Bombyx mori: one gene and its partners. The protein of the gene in region 3 interacts with the protein of the main gene of each other region in a biochemical or structural test. Links are inferred from orthologs where the notes say so. Each region holds a gene or a part of one and is shown on either strand. Other genes may lie near its edges.

Region 1 (8,243 bases), on a different chromosome or scaffold from region 3:
TTATTACTAGGTATATAAAATCAATTTAAAATAACAATTTAAAACTTAATCTGAGTAATTTTTACAAAACAAACCTATAATTGGCCGATCAACGAAAACATCTATCTGTTGATAACTATGGAACTTTTATGGGTCTTCGTTTCATGTGGAGAGATAAGCAAACTGTTTTGAACAATGACGAGAAATTCACAACTGTCAGTCTAAACTCTATGCTAAAACTCGTTTTGCAGAAAAGAGATAAGACTTCATTTCTTAATTTCCACCAAAAAGTTTTAACTCTTTAAAATAATTACACTCCACTTTCAAACTGATACAGACTATTTAATGCATTCATCTCTTCGAAATATAAAATTCTTTGTTGTAATTATTTTCTACATTTAAGCTTATTGGTTTTAATAAAATTAACATCAGTCAACGTCCAAATTAACTTAGAATAAACAAAGCAAAATTCTTGCAAAATAATCGGTGGGAAATCACAGTTGACAGATACCCGGCCACGGGGGGTAAAAATGAAAACACCTACCGGAAATTGAACGGAACCCAACGAAAGAATCTAATATTTTTAAAATGAGTTACGATTAAGATCTCACTTTTTTCATTAAAAACGTGTATTTTAGGGTTGTCAGTCGTTCCCGACGGTTCGAAATCCTCGAAATCGGTAACATTCATTTCACAAGATAACAACAATGGACAAAACAAAAATTATGTTGACCCTAGTGGAATGCTGATCGAACCTCAGACGGAAAAGGAAGGTAAAATGCTTTGGAGAAACGAAGTTATAAAACACTCATTCAGCTAAGAATAGAAATACTTAGATTAAATTTGTGTAGCAATTAGTATTGTAGTAATTGGCTACATTACAAAAAAGCCAGGTTGAGTCGATTGTCGATACATATTCTTTTTTAATCTCTCAATTGGCAAATCTTCGGTCAACCTTACACGAACTTCAACATCCACATAAGTATCTGTAGGCATACGATTAGTAAGTACCTATTCAAATTTTGGAACGAAGTTCCTTACAGAACGATGCGGAGGGGTACCCTAACCGGGAAAAAACGTCCGTAACGTAAGATTTTTATTAAATTTAATAAGGATACTACTTAAAGTCAAAATCTAAAAATCTGAAACGTTGTGTACAAACATTTTCCTAATTTCTATGTCACAGCAAACACAAAAAACATACGTTCAATTAGCACTCGACTACCGTGGCCTGCGCGGGCTCTTCCACGACTCGGATCAGGCGGATCACTCGATGACCAAGATCTCTGGCTTGCATTTCTGACTGAAACAGGCCTGATGCAATCCAGCGATGCAAGAAATATTTCTTATAGTGAGTTTAACTTTTGTATATTAGTTTGTAATTTTTTTTGAGAAAATCTCGTAGTCGCTCTCTATATCATTTTTTGAAGAATTACTACATATAATTAGTGTGAAATAGTTGTACTAAAATGTTATACGGAAGCATTCACTCCCACTTCATTTGTATGTATGTAGGTATTTAAAACTGCCATTTATTAATAAAAATCCTTTGAACTCTTTGACAATAGAACTTCTACCATTTGATACTAGCTGTAGGGTTTAGCAATGTCCTCATAAGGAGTCATGTCACTATGCTATAGTGTAGATCCTGACGCAGTGATTATTACGAAATAGTTGCGTATAGTTTGCTTATTATCTTATATTGTTATATTATATTATATTGTTTTGCGTAACATTGCTCCACTTCGCCTCGGAGTAAACTGATAAATAAATACCCGCAGTTGTAGAAAAAAAAACTACCCACACTGTATAATAATTTTAAAACTTCTGTCAAATAAAAGGTAGCCATATTCCAAATTCGGAGAGTATATTTTAATAATAATCGCTTCTATGAGAGTATCTAAATATATATAAATTATTTGCTGTTCGTTAGTCTCGCTAAAACTCGAAAACGGCTTGTGGAAGTTCAGAGAAGGTTTAAAAAGGTAAATATGAAAATGCTCGGAATTAAATAAAAATAGTAAATTTGTTGATGTGGCCCGCGTCGGACGGATTCCTTTTGTTTTAAATTTATTTTATACAAAAGTTTAGGTCCTTTATTAATCGATTGAGGCGCTACGAAGTCTGCCGGGTCAGCTGGTGCATTATAATAATCTTGTCTCATATTTTTACAGCGGAAACGGTGCAACGACACGATACCAAAATCGATAATCCAGATTCAATAATTCATCAAATGGATTTTTATGAAAAAGTAACTATTGATATTTTGCTGTGTATATGGGAGAACCGTTTTCCTGACAATACATGTTTGTTTCACAGATACCCAGCGAATCTTTTACAACAAATATAAGAGATGATTACGATGAAATCCATCGAAAATGTCCAGGTCTTTTCTGGGACACTGTATGTATACAAACCAACAACCTTGTAATGTACATACCCTAAATCCAGAACTTACTTACATAATGTCTGTTAGAACTTACGAAATCCAACAGATTTTTTTTGGATTGCCCAATTTTTTTACAATGCCTTTAGCCCAGACACCACCTTATTACTTATTTTCTTTATATTTAATTAAGAGCATTGGCACTGCACAAACCGAGTTTTTTTTTGTTTTAATTACAATATGATTTTATTATAATAAGAGTATGGGTGAATATACTTTCCACCTTAAGTTAAGTAGTTACCGATCGCACTCATGACTGATTCACAACAGCATTACATCAGCAAAGCTCCGATTGCCTTGAAATGTCTGTCCTCAATACGAAAATGGCAATTTCTCCCATTGATGATAATTTTTGTTGATTTTAAGTGTCTTGATTGCGGATGCCTTGACTTGCAGAACTTAATGATGAAAATGTTATATGTGCATATATGTTTTATTACTCATCAGATCGTAGTGGACGATAATGAAGAAGCATTTCAAAAATTGAAATCTATCATTCGTAATATTGTCAACTCTCAAAAGAATCAACAACCAATGTTTGACATAGATTTCACAAATTTAAAGTACTATCCTACAGTTAAAAAGAGACTAATAAAAATTCAAAATGAAATAGGAGCACAAAAATTGTTTAATTAATAAATGTTATCACTAATAAAGACTTTTATTTAGTGTTTTAGGTACAATTCAGTAAAATAGTACAGTTATTTTTACATTACAAAACCATGAGACGTGTTAAAGATAACCATCCTAGTTATTTTAAGACTTATTGTATATACTGTCTGTCACATCAAAAATCATTTGAATACCAAAGTGTCAAGCATAGCTCCTAGACACTGGACTATGTTGTTGGCCATGAGCACATCCACTTTCTCCTCTAAATGTCTTTTAGGATCTTGTTTGCCTACATTCTTAATGGCTAATTGTTCTGGAGTCATCTTCTCCTCATCTTCTAAAGCCTTATTATAGTTTTTAGCTAATTCCAGCATGTCGGTAACTGTGGACTCATTAACAGAACAATGCTCTTTGTAGTCAGATAAAGTTAGTCCATCCATCCAGGACTTCTTATGTAAATTCAACAACATTTTTTGTTCCAACTCGTTCTTTCTATAATTTATACTAATTGAATAGTAGTGACGATTTAATCCATGTATAAGAGCTTGTACAGATGGTTTCTGGAGGTGCCCGAGATTTGAGGTGGTTTGTCTGGGCTCTTGTCCAAGTACCATCATATTTGAGTTGATAAGGCGGAACGCGTCTATCACAACTTTACCCTTTACCGACTGGATGGGATCAACCACAACAGCTACTGCACGTTCCGATAATGCTTCAAATGACTGTTGAGTGTTGATATCCACACCAGATAACCAACAACCAAAGCCAGGATGTGAATGATACCTGTAAATCAATGTTGAACAATGAACATCACAATAGTAACAACTATCCAGTGTCAAAACCTATGCTATGGGCAGAATACTATATTCTACATAAATTAGTAAAGTTCTTATAATTTACTTTAAGTTTATGTATGCAAACCAAGATGGTGACATTTACATTGTAAATGTCTATGGGCTCCAGTAACCACTAAGCACCAGGTGCGGAGTGAGTTTATCCACCCGTCTAAGCAATAATAATAAAAAAGCTTAGAAGTAATTATGTCAAAACTGCCACCCACCTTAAGACATGAGGTCTATGTCCCAATTGTATGGTGAAAAGATTGTCCCCATCCTTTAAACCTAAAGTCAACGCTGCATCATTGTAGAAGATAAGTAGGGTAGTGGTACTTCATTTATAAGAGCAAGCTCATAAGACACCTTAGCACCACAATATATTTCGCCATATATCTTAACAGAAAACTAACATCTTAGACATACAAAGTTGATTAAGTATTATAAAAACTAAAATAATAATCTGTTTTGAATGTCATTGTGCAATGTTGACTTATTTCTTTTCAATATTATTGTAATTCTTATTTTGTATAATTTACTTTAAAGACACTAACCATCCAACAACCATTTCGGGTCGTCCTGTTTGTTTCAACATGTCCAACATCTTAGCTTGGAAGACTGGATCAACAGCCTCTACAGATACTCCAGTCCCGGTTTGTGGCATAGCAAATACATCAATAACTCGAACTGTATAGTCATCTACAAACTCTCCTGAAATAAAATATTTTCTTTAGAATTTCCACAAATACAGGCAACATAAAATCGTACATTTGGTTGAATACTTTAGTCACTAAGACCGACTTCTACTACTAAAAATAGAATTTTGTGATTTTAATGAATGTGTATTCACATTTTGTTACAGATCTAATTTAATTTACCAAGTTTATAATCATAATAATTTCATGAAAAACTTGTTTTACTGACCGAGCATGAGACCCATAACCTCCATAGGAACGCCAGCACGTCCATGTTTCAGCATTTTAAGGAGTGCTAGGGAAGAGATGTACACTTGCTCCGCGGTGTCCACTGCTGGAGCATCGGTAGGAGGTGGCGCCTGTGATAAGCCCGCCATTCCACCACCAAGACGAAGAAGACGATCCATTTCAGTTTCTACCTCTTAACTTTCACACTGCAAAACATATAAAACATAACAGTACTCATATCGCCACAGAAAGCGCAATCGAAACAATGATGCGGTGGGTAGGTATCCCAAAGTTGTGCAGGACTCCAATTTTTTTTCTTGTAGCTACTTACATCTAATCAAGTGTATTTCTTCTAGTTAAATTTCACAATAGAAATAACATATAAAAAACACAGTAATGCAAAGAATCAGTTTAGTATGAACCTCGGGTGACTTGACTACTAGTTTGACAAAATGACATTTACTCAACTCACGCAGAAAATGCTTTCTCATGTCTTACTTCCGTTCATTAATCATGTGAACCTTTTGAAAAAGAGAAATCTTATTCAGAAAAAATATTTTTTCTCAGCTTAAGCGTTTGAAAAGTTTTTTTTCTTCAAGTAAACAAAAAAAAAATATCACAGTATGGTCCAGGATATTTATGAAAATACAAAACACAATGACACCCTAAAAAAATCTAGGTTCAACGCGAAACTTCCTCTATCAATTTCCGAACGTTTCTTAGTCATCATTAATTAACGTACAATTCGATGTCTTTTTTTTCTTACCTAAGCTGATAAGCCTTGAGAGGCTATTTCAGCGTAACCTTAACTAGTAGGTGGGCACACGGGGCTCAAATCTGACGACGTTGCTAGCGAAAGTGAAGCGTTTAGTGCGGAGCACATCTCTCCCATCACCCTCCCCCTCTGGACGCCGGACCGGCGGTCGTCGGCGCCACGACCACCAGCCCTCTCGGTCGGCAGGCTATCCGAAGCCCGCCTAGATGGCGCCGGTTAGAGTGAGCTATCCTACGGAATACCCCACTGGACCAGAACCAGCGTGGGTCGAGGATAGCCGGCCTTCCATCACCCGGATGCTCTTGCGTAAAACGCGTGCAGAGCAGCTTGCACGTCGTCTTCTTAGGCCCCCCTCGCCGGTTCCCAGACCGACATGTGAGGGGGGACCCGAAAACCTTAGAGGGCCAGGGCTTGGGCGAGATCCGCCTCCCTGGCCCCCGCTCGACGGCGGCGGGATTGTGCGTCTCTCACGCGCCCCGCCGCCTCCTTCTGCGAGATGGTGCACTCGCAGAAGTCGAGCATCGCCTTCCACGACTCGTCGTCGCCGAGCATCGATGCCAGAACACTCGGCAACGACAAGTCGTTTCCTACTTTTGCGACAAGGACACGGCGCCACCCCTCCCATGCGGGGCAGGCGACGAGCGTATGCTCTGCCGTGTCCAAGTCGCAATCACAATGGTGCCGTCGGCTCGGCTCTAATCCGGTGCAGGAACTCACCGAAGCAACCATGCCCAGTGAGCACTGAAAGCGTGAGCCGGAAAGTGAGGCGTCCTCTGTTACGATTCACCCAATCCACAAGGACCGGGCGAATCGCCTCGACGGTCCTACGACCAGCCGAAGGATCAGCCAGCCGTCTGAGGATCAGCCAGCCGTCTGGCTACAATTACCGTAAGGTAAATTCATTTTGCCTTTTATAAAATAATAAAAAGCAGACAAGAGCATTTGGTATGATTCATTCGCCTTTCCAGTATAGGAAAAGTAAACACAAATGCGTCAATAATGTCATTCAATACTGTCACTTGCAGCGTGACCAGATTTAGTAGATTTCTACTTTTTTGGTAGATTCTGAGGTACTGGCAACAGAATTTAGTATGTAAAAATTATTTGGTATATTTTAGTAGAATTCAGTCTTTTCAGGTAATCTAGTACTTTTTTGGCATTTTGGATACATTCGGGATATTTCGGGAGCTTAAAATGAAACATAAATATACACAAGGATATCACGATGTCCCATTCATCGCGATATCCTTGTAGTTGTAACAGAAAACATGCAAAGTGTGGTGATGTTCGACCAGCCCATACCGTGGGCCCCAAAGGTCAAATATTTAGGCGTCACCCTCGACAGTAGGATGACATTCCGCCCCCACATCAAGACGGTACGCGACCGTGCCGCCTTTATACTAGGACGTCTCTACCCGATGATATGCAGGCGAAGTAAAATGTCCCTTAGAAATAAGGTGACACTCTACAAAACTTGCATACGCCCCGTCATGACCTATGCAAGTGTAGTGTTCGCTCACGCGGCCCGCACTCACTTAAAATCCTTCCAAATTATTCAATCCCATTTTTGCAGGATAGCCGTCGGAGCCCCGTGGTTCGTCAGGAACGTCGACCTCCATGACGACCTGGACTTAGAGTCCATCAGCAATCTTCAGTCGGCGTCGATGCGCCACTTCGATAAAGCGGCACGACACGAGAACCCTCTCATCGTGGCCGCCGGTAACTACATTCCCGATCCTGCGGACAGAATGGAAAGCAGTCGACGTCACCCAAAACACATCATCTCGGATCCTCCCGATCCACTAACGGTGCTTCTAGGTACTTCAAGCACCGGTCACCGTTCTTGTCGAACCCGTCGCTTGCGACGAAGGGCTCGACGAGTAAATTAACTCCTAGACACAGCCCACTGAGTTTCTAGCCGGATCTTCTCAGTGGGTCGCGTTTCCGATCCGGTGGTAGATTCTGCGAAGCACGGCTCTTGCTAGGGTTCGTGTTAGCATCGTCGTCAGGTTTGAGCCCCGTGAGCTCACCTACAAACGTTAGGGTTACGCTGAAATAGCCTCTCAAGGCTCTCAGTTTAGGTAGGAAAAAAAAAAAAAAGGAAATTGTTGACAAAGAATATAATTAAAATGAGATGTTTCCGTGTCTAATTTGTTGTCAACTTCTTGTTCGACGTCTGAATCTTTTATGGTGAATAAATTTTGGAGTGATGTCAGCCAAATCTGTGATGCGAATAGCAAGCCAAGGTATAGCAATTTGTCCCGAATTGTGAAGCAAATGACGATACTACCTTTGTCAAATGCCAAAATAGAAAGAATATTTTCTAATATTAATAGGTTTAAAATCAAGATCGAAATTGATTTAATAATAAGAATGTTGTTGCAATAATGCATGGAAAAGAGGGGCTACGACAGTTGGTAGGAGGAAGTCGCACATTTGATCCTGACAGAAGTATTATCATGTTAATGGGTTCAAAACAACTTTATGAAAATGTTACCCAACATAAAGACGAGGAATTTTAAGTTTAAGTTTCATTTTATTATTTTTTTATTTTTTTTTATTTTGAATTTAATAAAAAAAAAAGAACATTGGTCTCTTGAATTAATGGTGTTTTCTTTGTTATTATTATTATTCTATTGTTTGATCAAGGAAACATTCATGTTTTTACGTTGTAA
Region 2 (8,303 bases), on a different chromosome or scaffold from region 3:
TTGGTTCGCGAAAATGCGGCGTCTCGTCCGGAAGTATGTTACCTCCTGCCTTGAGTGCGCGTACCACAAAGCTCCAGGTGATAAACGAGAAGGAGAACTCCACCCAATCGAAAAGATAAAGGTACGAGTTTCACCAGTAAGGCGTTTCAAGATTTTACGACCTCTTACGGGATCAAACATATTGTAAATGCCGTTGCAACGCCTCGAGCAAACGGGCAAGTAGAAAGGTTTAATAGAACGATTTTAGATGCTCTATCGACAGCCAATCACGGCGGCGACGACAAGTCGTGGGACAACCACATCACTGATATACAGGTTGGTATGAACACAGCTCGACATAAAACTACCCAAAAGAGCCCCTCTGAGCTACTATTTGGATTTAACATAATTAATAGAACGGAAAGCATACTTAGTACGGTAATCAATGACACCCTAAATAGGACTCCCATTGAGGAATTGGCGGAAGTCAGACAACAGGCTAGTAAAAAAAAAAAAAAAACAGCAACAAGTTAAAGATGCAGTCAATTTTAATAAGCATAGGAAACCAGCGAGGCAGTACCAAGAAGGGGATTTAGTACGCTTAGCAAGGCAGGCTCCGCACGATGGAAAATCTCAAAAGCTCTCTGTTAAGTACCAAGGCCCTTATCGTATACTAAAGGTTCTTCCCAATGATAGGTTCGTGGTAGAAGATATACCAATGACTCGCAAAAAAGGTAGAAGGTATGAAGCAGTTGTATCTATTGATAAGATTCAGCCTTGGATGTCGTTCTGTAGAGAATTAGAATCTGATGAATCTAGTTATAGTGTTGATGACAGTGATTAGATACTTGATTACTCAGTTTATGTTTGACATTTAGTTACTTAAGAAAGAAATTGTTATTTTAATTATTATTTTGATAGAACTTAAAACCATGGAAACGATTTAGCGATAGATATGTGTATGTACTTAGTATTTATAGCAAAAAAAATGTTTAAAAAAAATGTTACACGTCATATATAAACCTAGTGTATAATTAATTGCATTTATTATTATTATTTTTTTTGTAACATATATATTTTGTTTTTTTTTCTTGATCTCAAAGCGAAGGGTCTCGCTTTAGGTAGGATGGCCGAGCTGTAAGGTTTATGATTATTTATATTAATATGATTATATAGAGTGTAAGGTTTCTGATTATTTATATGATTATATAGAGTCCTGTACATATTAAGAATTATTATTAAATATGAGGTTTATATTGCAAACCATTAAAATATTGTTAAGTTATAAATTCAACAGTTGACAAATGTCGTCAATAGATGTCACAGGCTAACAAAATTACATCGCGGTAGCGTTGTGTGTAAAAATTTGTATAAGAAGTCCAAAGTAATTATGAATAAATCAAGAACCAAACGCATCAATGTAAAATTGGCAGATTAAAGCAAAGTGTGAACAAAGTTAGCCTGTTTAATTTATATGTCTGACACCCAAAATTTGTGTTCCCTTCCCTCGCCCTAATAACTCCTCGAAGACGATTCTTCATAGACCTGATCAGCTTTTGAATTGATTCTTGTGGGATACCTTCCCACTTCTCAATCAACGCCGATTTCAGCTCATTCAGGCATGAAGGAGCAGAAGTTCTGGAACGAACCCTATTCTTCAGTTCATCCCACACGTGCTCAATAGGATTCAAGTCAGGGCTGAGCGCAGGCCAGTCCAATGTGGCGATATAGACTTCTTCGAAGTATTCAGTTGTTCCACTGGCAGTGTGACAACGAGCGTTATCGTGCTTAAGGAGGAAGCTATCACCGGCATATCCCGCATAGGGAACGACATGTTCCAGCAGAATATTGGAAATGTATCGGTCCGAAGTTAGACCGCCTCCTCGTCCCCCGCCAGGCACGAAAACAAGCTCGGTTTTACCGTCGAAGGAAATGCCGGCCCACATCATACAAGAGCCGACCCCATAAGCCACTGTTTCAGCGAAACAGCACTGCGCAAATCGCTCCCCAGGCCGCCTGTAGACCCAACCTCTTCGGTCGCTACCATGCAAACACATCCTGCTCTCGTCGGAGAACAGGATTTGCCTCCATTGCTCAACCTCTCAATTAAGATTGGTACGAGCAAATTGAAGGCGTGCTTGTCGATGAGCTACCGTGAGTTTCGGCCCTGTGACAGGCCTTTTTGGAGTCAGATTCGCTTGCTTGAGTCGTCGAAGAACTGTCTACTTGCTAGCTGCTACCCTACGAACATCTCGGAACTCCTGTTGGACGTCGACACCAGGTTAATGCCGATTTCGGAGAGAGGTTAACACGATAAAACGGTCATTCCTCTCCGATGTGCCCCAGCGCCGTCCAGATCTTGGTCTCGAGATAAAGCTACCAGTCTCTTGAAAGCGCTTGCAAACTTTTGAAACACAGGAATGGCTTATTTGGAGCCGACGAGCGACAACCCGCTGGCTGAGCTCTTCTTGCAATAGGGCTACGATTTGTGCTACTTCTGTAGGTGTTGTCCCAATTGTCGTACAAGGTAAAGGGTCAAAAGTAGCCGAGATATGTACCGGTCAACGTGTGAAAGTCGACTGATAAAGAAAATCCGATAACAGGTGCTTTTAGAGGGGTCAATAGGCCGCAACTCGCGACGTATCAAGCAATTGAAACACGTCTTTTTCGTTATTCCTTCACTTAATCCAAGATAACTTCTTAAATACTGGTTTGATTTTAATTAATTTGGTATCAGTTTAAGGTTAAGAGCTCAACCTTTAAAATGATCTCATTTTTATGATTATCAAAAAAATATGTAGTACACAAGATCGCGCGGAACCAATTTCAAGTAAGTGATTCCAAACTTTTGCTCGCGAGTGTAGTTGAAAGGATGGTTGTTGGTATCATAAAATTATCATAAAATCTAAATATCCATGATCATAGATTATACACTTAATATTCGAGATCCATGATTGTCAAATGACATTCTGATAAATGTCAATGTTCAGTCTTAACAAACCTAAACTGTCAAATGTCAAAAAGTTCAATTCTCATTTTCTCTGTTTTGATGCCGGTTCTGATAACGACTAATATTATAAGAAATATTTTATGTAAATGCTTATTTCTGGGGAAAATGGCTAATTTGCCTCCACGAAAAGTTACTTCAGCTAGCAAATCAAAACAAGATGCTTCTCCACTGCAAATACTTTTGCAAATGGGTTTTAGAAGGCAAAGAGCGTAAGTTTGTAGCGACACTTTGTCTATATTATGTGGTAATAAATGTAGTAGTAGTATCTAGTTTGGAACCACAATAAATTGTACAAGCAAATTTAAAGAAATCAAAACTTAATTGGGCCACAGTAAATATAATACTACAATATAATTTAAATTGCTTAGGTTGAAAGCTTTAGCAGCAACTGGTAACCGCAGTGTTCAACTCGCCTCTGACTGGCTATTGACACACGTTAGTGACTCGAATATAGATGCTGATGATCCTCGCGAGTATATCTTCTATGCCAGTCCTACAGGACCTTTACTCTCACAACTCCTAGAATTCTGGGATAAGTCTAAGGCAACGTGTGGTTGGAATGGAGCTCATAATTTTTTACCTCACATCACTTTAGTATCTTTTTTCAAGGTAATAAAAAATATATCATACATTCCTGTTGATTCCTCTATCAATTTATGCATAGTCCCTGTAAACAAACATTTATAAATAATGTAAGCCTCATTTTATTTTTTGTCAGATCTTTGAATTGTTTAGGTTTATTTTAATTTACTATATTTTGCCACCAACAATTTATTTACAATTTAAGCTATGGTTTTTAGAGTTAAATGGAAACTGGGCTATAGGTATTATTTCAGATAATAGATATGTCAATCCTCATCCCCACTTCCAGATATAAGATATGAGTTACATTTGTAACAATGGCTATTTTAATTCTGCAGCTAATTTTAAAATTTAGTCAGGTTCTACAAAAATTGGATATTAATTTTATACACATTAAATATATAGATAAATTGATCCAAAAAAGAAGACACCACAACCATCAATGGTCATTGTTTTTGGAAATGCTTCGCTTATGCCTTGTACATACATATATGCAAAGTAATTATTATTTATTACAAATAATTATAAAGAATGGATGGATATAGAACTGATGTGATTGATAAATGTTTATTATTAACATATCTTATGAAATAATAGTACATATCTAAACAAATAATCGCAACAGTAAAAAAATATCCATAGGCACCCGATGATACATCTCTTAATTTAGCAAAAGCAGTTCGGCAAGTTGTCGAGAATGTGGGTGACCCACCTAAATGCACTCTTAAGCTCGAACCCTATGTATCACACAACTTTATGGGCTTGTTTATCTCTGAAGAACATGCTGAGTATTTGAAAAAAATTGCAGTGCAATATGTCAAGCAAGTGTCTTCAGTTTGTAAGTATATCTATAAAAGAAGAAATCAATCTAAGAAAAAATATTGTAGATTCTCACTATTTTAATGTAAACTTTATAGTTAAATATCTATTACCATTATTAGAAACAGCATGTACTGGTTATTTCTAGAAATTAGGTACTGTTGACTTATTTGACCCTAATCTGATTATGAAGAAAATAGTCTTTATTTATTTGACATTATGTCTGTGTTACTTCAGTGGGTGTAATGGTGGACACATATGAACATTTGGATGCATTAGGAACATGCTTTCCGTGGTGTGCAATGGCACAAGAAAAGAATCTTAAATGTAAGAGTGGATATTCTAACAGCTTGCTTTGATGTAATAACATTTTTGTGACTATTTTTATTCTAAATACAAAGCAGTAGTTTCTTGACTTGACTATACTAAATATATTAATGTTTTCGTGGCTTAATCGGTAAAGTGTATACATATACTGATACTAAGATTTGCATGTATGTACCTAACGAACAACTTCCATGATGAAGGAAATCAAAATAATAATATGCGTAATGAAACTGAATTAAGTTTGAGTAATAACTAGTTGGACACTGGACTCTGAGACCACTCTGAAAGATACTTTCATGTTGTCTATTGCTTCCTCAGAAGTGTTCATGATTTTCAGTTTTAAGGGTGAGGTATTCTCTGTACTTTTTTTTTTGTTTATTGCCTTACAGGCAGATGAGCACACGGCTCACCTGATGGTGAGTGGTTACCGTTGCTCATGGACGTCAGCAATGCCAGGGGTAGAGCCAAGCCGCTGCCTACCGTTTAATACTCTCCACAAGCCTTGTTTAAAGAAGGACATGTCATAGCGCTCGGGAAACACCATGGAGGGGAGTTCATTTCATAGCCGGATGGTACGTGGCAAAAAAGATCTCTGGAAACGCACTGTGGATGAATGTAGTGGCACCACGTAGTATGGATGAACTTTACTCCGGTGGCGGGAGGTTCGATGGTAAAAACGAGATGTTGGTATCATCTCGAACAATTCCTCTGAGCACTCCCCATGGAACATACGGTACAAAATACAGAGGAAACTGAAGTCCCTCCGCAGACCCAGAGGTTCCAATCGATCCGTAAGAATGGGATTATCAACAATCCGAACGGCTCTTTTCTGTATGGAATCAAATGGAAGTAGCTGGTATTTGGGAGCCCCGGCCCAGAAATGGGAGCAGTACTCTACGCGATGCCGGACCTGTGCTTTGTAAAGCAAAAGTCTTTGTCCAGGCGTGAAGTACCGCTTCGCTCTGTTGAGGACTCCCAGCATTTTTGACGCCAACTTGGCTTTGCCCTCCAAATGACTCCGAAATTGGACATCGCTCGAAATGTCGAGCCCAAGTATCCCAATATTCTTGGAAGGTTGTAGGGATACACCTTGGAATTGCGGCGCCATGACAAAGGGGTCCTTCTTCGCAGTGAACGCGCAAACCTGTGTCTTCAACGGGTTGAATTGAACCAAATTTACTTCACCCCACTCGGAGGCTCGCCCCAGAGAGTTCTCCACTTCAAACACAAGTTTTGAATGTCTCTCCTGCACTACGCTCCGTGAGAGAATCTGATGGCCGATATATCGCACATCCCCCGTGCTGTCATCCGCATAGCAATGCATGCCATAAATAGACAGCATGTCATTGATATACAAGATGAAAAGCGTGGGGGAGAGCACCGAACCTTGTGGAACGCCAGCGTTAATGGTCATGGTATCAGAGCATTCACCGTCTAGAACGACCGTGATGATCCGCCCATCCAAAAAGCTAGCGATCCACTTGCAGAGCCCCTTGGGGATTCCGTAAGCTGGCATGACGTCGACATTTCATGTCACAAGGTGGGTGAAGCCATTTACATTGATGTTGATTATTGCTTCTTCTTCATCATGTAACGAATTGTTGTCGGTTGCAATCTAGAATCGCTTAGTAATAAATGAGAGAAGTTAGGAGGATGCGAGCCCTCATGCAGGTTGCTTAATGGTTCTAGCATTTACTGGGGCAAATACACTTATAACTTTTTAGAAGATTCTGCTAATACCTTACCTACCTGAAAAACCTGAAAATCTATTACCACCAAACTTTTAAAACGGGAAAGTGCAAGAAATTAACCCAAAATTAAGGCTGTAATTGTGGAAAGAACGAAATGTGATGTAATCTACATATCCTTTGTTTAATATGAAACTGCTGCTATGTATATTGTTTGTCGCATGGCATGAAATAAAACAATATAATTGTCTAGTTTAAAAAATTTAAATGCACGTGATTCAAATGTATTTATTTCATTCAAGCCTAAAAACACCACCTTTTTCTTCAGTGGCGGCCTGCCAATTTAATCTTACACTACATGCTTCTAAGGTAAATACGCTTTTATATAATACGTACATATATACCTATATGCTACATTTATTTTAATAACAATTAGTTCTTTCGAATCTGTTAGTTCTGTTTGTTGTGTTTAGAAAATTTGCCGTAGTTGATTTTTGTAATAAAAAATGCTGTAGCTCTATTTCATACGTATATTGTAACGTAGTTTACTTATCACCAATACGTATTTTCTTGAAATAGATTTTTAAGCTTACTAGAAATATTGAATGACATTAAGAACGAATAAGTTTATTTAATATATATTTTTGAACAATAGCATCAATAAACCTGGAAGCGCACGTAAAATCTCTTCATATCACACTGGCGTACCATTTTGAGGAATCATCGTATGAGGATCTGAAGAGCCTGGTGGAGGAGATGCAGCCAGTCGAACACTCCAGCTGGGAGCTCAGGCTTTATTCGAGGGATCCACGTTTCGCTAATCATCAGGTAATCGGGATGATTCCAAACTAGGCCTTTCTATATGGCCGTATGAAATGAGATATTAGGTCGGTATCAAATGTATTGTCGACTGGTTTGATTTTGCTGTTATAGTTACAATAAATTCATAATGAAAGAACTAGTTTATAACATCATAATATCATCATGATCATTAGATCAGCGGGTACTTTTGCCCTTTGACTGTCATGTAGGTTACTGATGCCCTACGTGGCGCACTGAAGGAATTAAGTCGATTTCTGTTACTAAAAGCTTGATTGCACAACTTTATATTATTTTGTTTGTTAATGTAAGTCTTTTAGGTCGATATAAATCGATTCGATTCGTTCTTATTAATTAATTCTTAATTCGTCTTTCCCAGAGTCTACTTATTATTGCGACGCCTTAGTAACAGAAATCGCTATAATTACTTCAGTGCTCCACGCTGTATTATCTATGACGTAGGACACTGGTGACCAGTATAGTGCGAGTTTTGAACGTTTCCGATACCGTAACAGTTAGCTCATATTTGTATGGAATGGGATCGTTTACCTACGTTTGCCGTTAGGGACGTTTGGGACGCTGTTCCAACTGCATACAAAATTGGGTTAACTTTTACGCTATCGAGAACGTTAAAAAGCTCGCACTAAGCACACTGCATGGCAATCAATGTGTAGGTGAAAAAATAGAACTGTCTATCATGTAGGAAGTACCTACAGCGTTGCTGTGCTTATAATATTGAAACAATCTATCTATTAACTACTTAATTAAATTAATATTGATTTATTCAATGATTCGGGCTACCATATCAATTTGACAAAATTACCGAACATTTTCTGGGGAAGAAATTTTCTTTGGGTGAATCCAATGAAAAACTTAGTTAAAGTCAAAAATATATTTATGATAACCAATATTAAACACAGCTTTCAGAAATATCTTTTGATGTCTAAATATTTTGGCATAAAATTCACGTGAATGTTGCGAACTTATAACTCTTTCGTTAAATATAGATTTAACGAAAGAGTTCGCACATATCATACAACAATAGTGTTGTATGAAACTGTCATTGTACTATAATATAA
Region 3 (4,195 bases):
CACTTTGAGAAAGACTGAGATAACGGAAATAAATATAAGATTTTGATTATACACATACATATATTTAATATACATCCATAACCCTGGAAAAGACATTTATATTTATCATACAAATATCTTCCCTTGGCGGGATTCGAACCCGCGACCCCCTTGTGTAGTGACCATGTCACTTACCACTACACCAGATGGACGTTAGATTTGTTGATAGATTAGATAGATAGATGATTTGTTGATGAATTTTCGGATTATCGATATTCCCCTTCGAATCCTTACTACTTCAAATTGTTATTTTCACTGATCATACAAACCGGTTTTAAAATGAACACCTCTCAAGGGTGTTTCCTGAGCTCTATGAAATCTTCTTGTTCAATCAAGGTTTGAAAGGAGTATAGCATTGCCAGTGTCCATGAGCATCGATCAGTACTTACCGTCATATGGGCCATTGGCTATTGTATCTATTACGAAAAAAAACCACAAATACTTAAGATTAAAAGTGTTTGAAAAAACTCTAGCATTTTTTATGTGTTAATTCGAAAGTATTCTTGCCTAGCTTATTTATTCTGATGAACTGCTGCTACAATCAACGCCCTATAGGTGAACAAAATGTAATCGTTCAAAGCTCTGCCATCATTTCGTTCAGCAATTCACCATCTTCTGCTCCCCACTCCGAACGAGGAGCACTGCTGCTTGAGATACAGGTTTCATCACCTAATTCAAGCACAGATGCAAATTAAGACTGTCTTTCTACTTCTATGCTAACAATAAATAAATAAGTAATAAAAAAATGAGTATCGCCGGCAACCAGCTGTTCTTCTAGCTCTAACTTTTCTATTATTCTCATTTACAACTCCTACAAGCTGATTGAATTTTCACCGCACTCGCACATATCAGCTGTACGTTTTCACCAAGCCTTTTGGTGGGCTAATCGATATATTAGAGATAAAAACTTGTTTAAGCCTTTGCATAAGTTTTACTATTACTTCTTAAGTGAAAATAAATTTATGTGTCCTAAAGTACATATTAATTTATGATAGATATTTTTCAAAACATAAAACAATCGTCAAAGCTTAAAAACTGTTTGAATACGTATAGCAACATTCCGCCATATTGCTCAGAGTGATTTCTTTCAGGCAACGACTTCCTAAAATAGTGATCGAGAATAATCCTAAAATACAAGCCTGAAGGGAATACATGGAATTTTTAATTTATTATATTATTCATTAAATTAACTCAACTCATCTCGTCTCGTCTCGTCTCATCTCATTTCATTCATTTCATTTCATTTCACACCATGTTTCATATTAATCAACTTTATTTCATTTCATAATATCTTTTTTCATATAAAAAGTTTTCATTATAATTAAAATAAGACTTGACCTAAAAGTCTTAGTTACCAGGTCATAAAATTCTTTATTCTGCTTTCAAGAGTCAAGTTGAATTTCATTCATTCGTGAAAGAGCTACCTAGTTGCACGACGTGTCCTACAATTTGTGATAATTTTAATAATTTTTGTGAATTCCAAAAAGGTAGGAAATATTTCAATTTTTCAAAAATATCACAACTCTACTGCATGAAATAATTATTGTCAACAAGAAAAGTTTGAAAATCAAGTTTGTCATTTGTACACACAAAAAAATCTGAAACAATGACGATGTAATTTATGATCGTCGCCATTTTGTGATGACTAAAAGTCTTTGTTCTTTTGTTTTGTTCGTCAATCCATTTAATACTCCGAAATAGGGAATTCATCCGTCAATCTTCATTAAAGTTCCTTCTTTGTTCTAGAAACCACCATGCAGATTTTTGTAAAAACTCTCACTGGTAAAACCATAACATTAGAAGTCGAAGCATCCGACACCATAGAAAATGTAAAAGCAAAAATTCAAGACAAAGAGGGCATTCCTCCAGATCAGCAGCGACTGATTTTCGCTGGGAAACAACTTGAAGACGGACGGACATTATCCGATTACAATATTCAAAAAGAATCTACTCTCCATTTGGTATTACGTCTGAGAGGTGGAATGCAGATCTTTGTGAAAACACTTACCGGTAAAACCATCACACTAGAAGTTGAAGCATCTGACACCATTGAGAATGTGAAAGCCAAGATTCAGGACAAAGAGGGAATTCCCCCAGATCAGCAGCGATTGATCTTTGCGGGCAAACAGCTTGAAGATGGCCGTACATTATCTGACTACAACATCCAGAAAGAATCTACTCTGCATTTGGTGTTACGTCTCAGAGGTGGCATGCAGATCTTTGTGAAAACACTTACCGGTAAAACCATCACACTAGAAGTTGAAGCATCTGACACCATTGAGAATGTGAAAGCAAAGATTCAGGACAAAGAGGGAATTCCTCCGGATCAGCAGCGGTTGATCTTTGCGGGCAAACAGCTTGAAGATGGCCGTACACTATCCGACTACAACATCCAGAAAGAATCTACTCTGCACTTGGTTTTGAGACTGCGTGGTGGCATGCAGATCTTTGTGAAAACACTTACCGGTAAAACCATCACACTAGAAGTTGAAGCATCTGACACCATCGAAAATGTGAAAGCCAAGATTCAGGACAAAGAGGGAATTCCCCCAGATCAGCAGCGATTGATCTTTGCGGGCAAACAGCTTGAAGATGGTCGTACACTATCTGACTACAACATCCAGAAAGAATCTACTCTGCATTTGGTATTACGTCTCAGAGGTGGCATGCAGATCTTTGTGAAAACACTTACCGGTAAAACCATCACATTGGAAGTTGAAGCATCTGACACCATCGAAAATGTGAAAGCCAAGATTCAGGACAAAGAGGGAATTCCCCCAGATCAGCAGCGATTGATTTTTGCTGGCAAACAGCTTGAAGATGGTCGTACATTATCTGACTACAACATCCAGAAAGAATCTACTCTGCATTTGGTGTTACGTCTCAGAGGTGGCATGCAAATCTTTGTGAAAACACTTACCGGTAAAACCATCACACTAGAAGTTGAAGCATCTGACACCATTGAAAATGTGAAAGCAAAGATTCAGGACAAAGAGGGAATTCCCCCAGATCAGCAGCGATTGATTTTTGCGGGCAAACAGCTTGAAGATGGCCGTACATTATCTGACTACAACATCCAGAAAGAATCTACTCTGCATTTGGTGTTACGTCTCAGAGGTGGAATGCAGATTTTTGTGAAAACACTTACCGGTAAAACCATCACATTGGAAGTTGAAGCATCTGACACCATCGAAAATGTGAAAGCCAAGATTCAGGACAAAGAGGGAATTCCCCCAGATCAGCAGCGATTGATTTTTGCTGGCAAACAGCTTGAAGATGGTCGTACATTATCTGACTACAACATCCAGAAAGAATCTACTCTGCATTTGGTTTTGAGACTGCGTGGTGGCATGCAAATCTTTGTGAAAACACTTACCGGTAAAACCATCACACTAGAAGTTGAAGCATCTGACACCATAGAAAATGTGAAAGCCAAGATTCAGGACAAAGAGGGAATTCCCCCAGATCAGCAGCGATTGATTTTTGCGGGCAAACAGCTTGAAGATGGTCGTACATTATCTGACTACAACATCCAGAAAGAATCTACTCTGCATTTGGTGCTACGTCTCAGAGGTGGAATGCAGATTTTTGTGAAAACACTTACCGGTAAAACCATCACATTGGAAGTTGAAGCATCTGACACCATCGAAAATGTGAAAGCCAAGATTCAGGACAAAGAGGGAATTCCCCCAGATCAGCAGCGATTGATTTTTGCGGGCAAACAGCTTGAAGATGGTCGTACATTATCTGACTACAACATCCAGAAAGAATCTACTCTGCATTTGGTTTTGAGACTGCGTGGTGGCATGCAGATCTTTGTGAAAACACTTACCGGTAAAACCATCACACTAGAAGTTGAAGCATCTGACACCATTGAGAATGTGAAAGCCAAGATTCAGGATAAAGAGGGAATTCCCCCAGATCAGCAGCGATTGATCTTTGCGGGCAAACAGCTTGAAGATGGTCGTACACTATCTGACTACAACATCCAGAAAGAATCTACTCTGCATTTGGTATTACGTCTCAGAGGTGGCATGCAAATCTTTGTGAAAACACTTACCGGTAAAACCATCACGCTAGAAGTTGAAGCATCTGACACCATTGAGAATGTGAAAGCCAAGATTCAGGATAAAGAGGGAATTCCCCCAGATCAGCA

What was found.
Region 1: the proteins of polyubiquitin-A (region 3) and 26S proteasome non-ATPase regulatory subunit 14 form a complex in vitro, tested with the Homo sapiens proteins (4 studies listed by BioGRID). The link is inferred for Bombyx mori from reciprocal best matches to the Homo sapiens genes UBC and PSMD14.
Region 2: the proteins of polyubiquitin-A (region 3) and ecdysteroid-phosphate phosphatase form a complex in vitro, tested with the Homo sapiens proteins (6 studies listed by BioGRID, with this or other methods). The link is inferred for Bombyx mori from reciprocal best matches to the Homo sapiens genes UBC and UBASH3B.

The regions. Positions count from the first base shown.
Region 1 is NC_085109.1:7,947,196-7,955,438, forward strand, and holds 26S proteasome non-ATPase regulatory subunit 14, read right to left. Parts: upstream 5,221-8,243; 5' UTR 5,125-5,220; intron 5,000-5,124; 5' UTR 4,973-4,999; coding exon 4,795-4,972; intron 4,582-4,794; coding exon 4,425-4,581; intron 3,821-4,424; coding exon 3,220-3,820; 3' UTR 3,072-3,219; downstream 1-3,071. Other genes in the region: uncharacterized protein LOC101738145, read left to right, coding at 618-752, 1,166-1,330, 2,154-2,230, 2,299-2,382, 2,873-3,061.
Region 2 is NC_085131.1:8,633,206-8,641,508, forward strand, and holds the start of ecdysteroid-phosphate phosphatase, read left to right. Parts: upstream 1-2,932; 5' UTR 2,933-2,992; coding exon 2,993-3,198; intron 3,199-3,357; coding exon 3,358-3,598; intron 3,599-3,789; exon of another isoform or gene 3,790-4,213; coding exon 4,214-4,409; intron 4,410-4,627; coding exon 4,628-4,717; intron 4,718-6,707; exon of another isoform or gene 6,708-6,774; intron 6,775-7,060; coding exon 7,061-7,233; intron 7,234-8,303. UniProt on the Homo sapiens protein: Interferes with CBL-mediated down-regulation and degradation of receptor-type tyrosine kinases. Promotes accumulation of activated target receptors, such as T-cell receptors and EGFR, on the cell surface.
Region 3 is NC_085127.1:9,713,253-9,717,447, reverse strand, and holds the start of polyubiquitin-A, read left to right. Parts: upstream 1-1,395; 5' UTR 1,396-1,526; intron 1,527-1,785; 5' UTR 1,786-1,793; coding exon 1,794-4,195.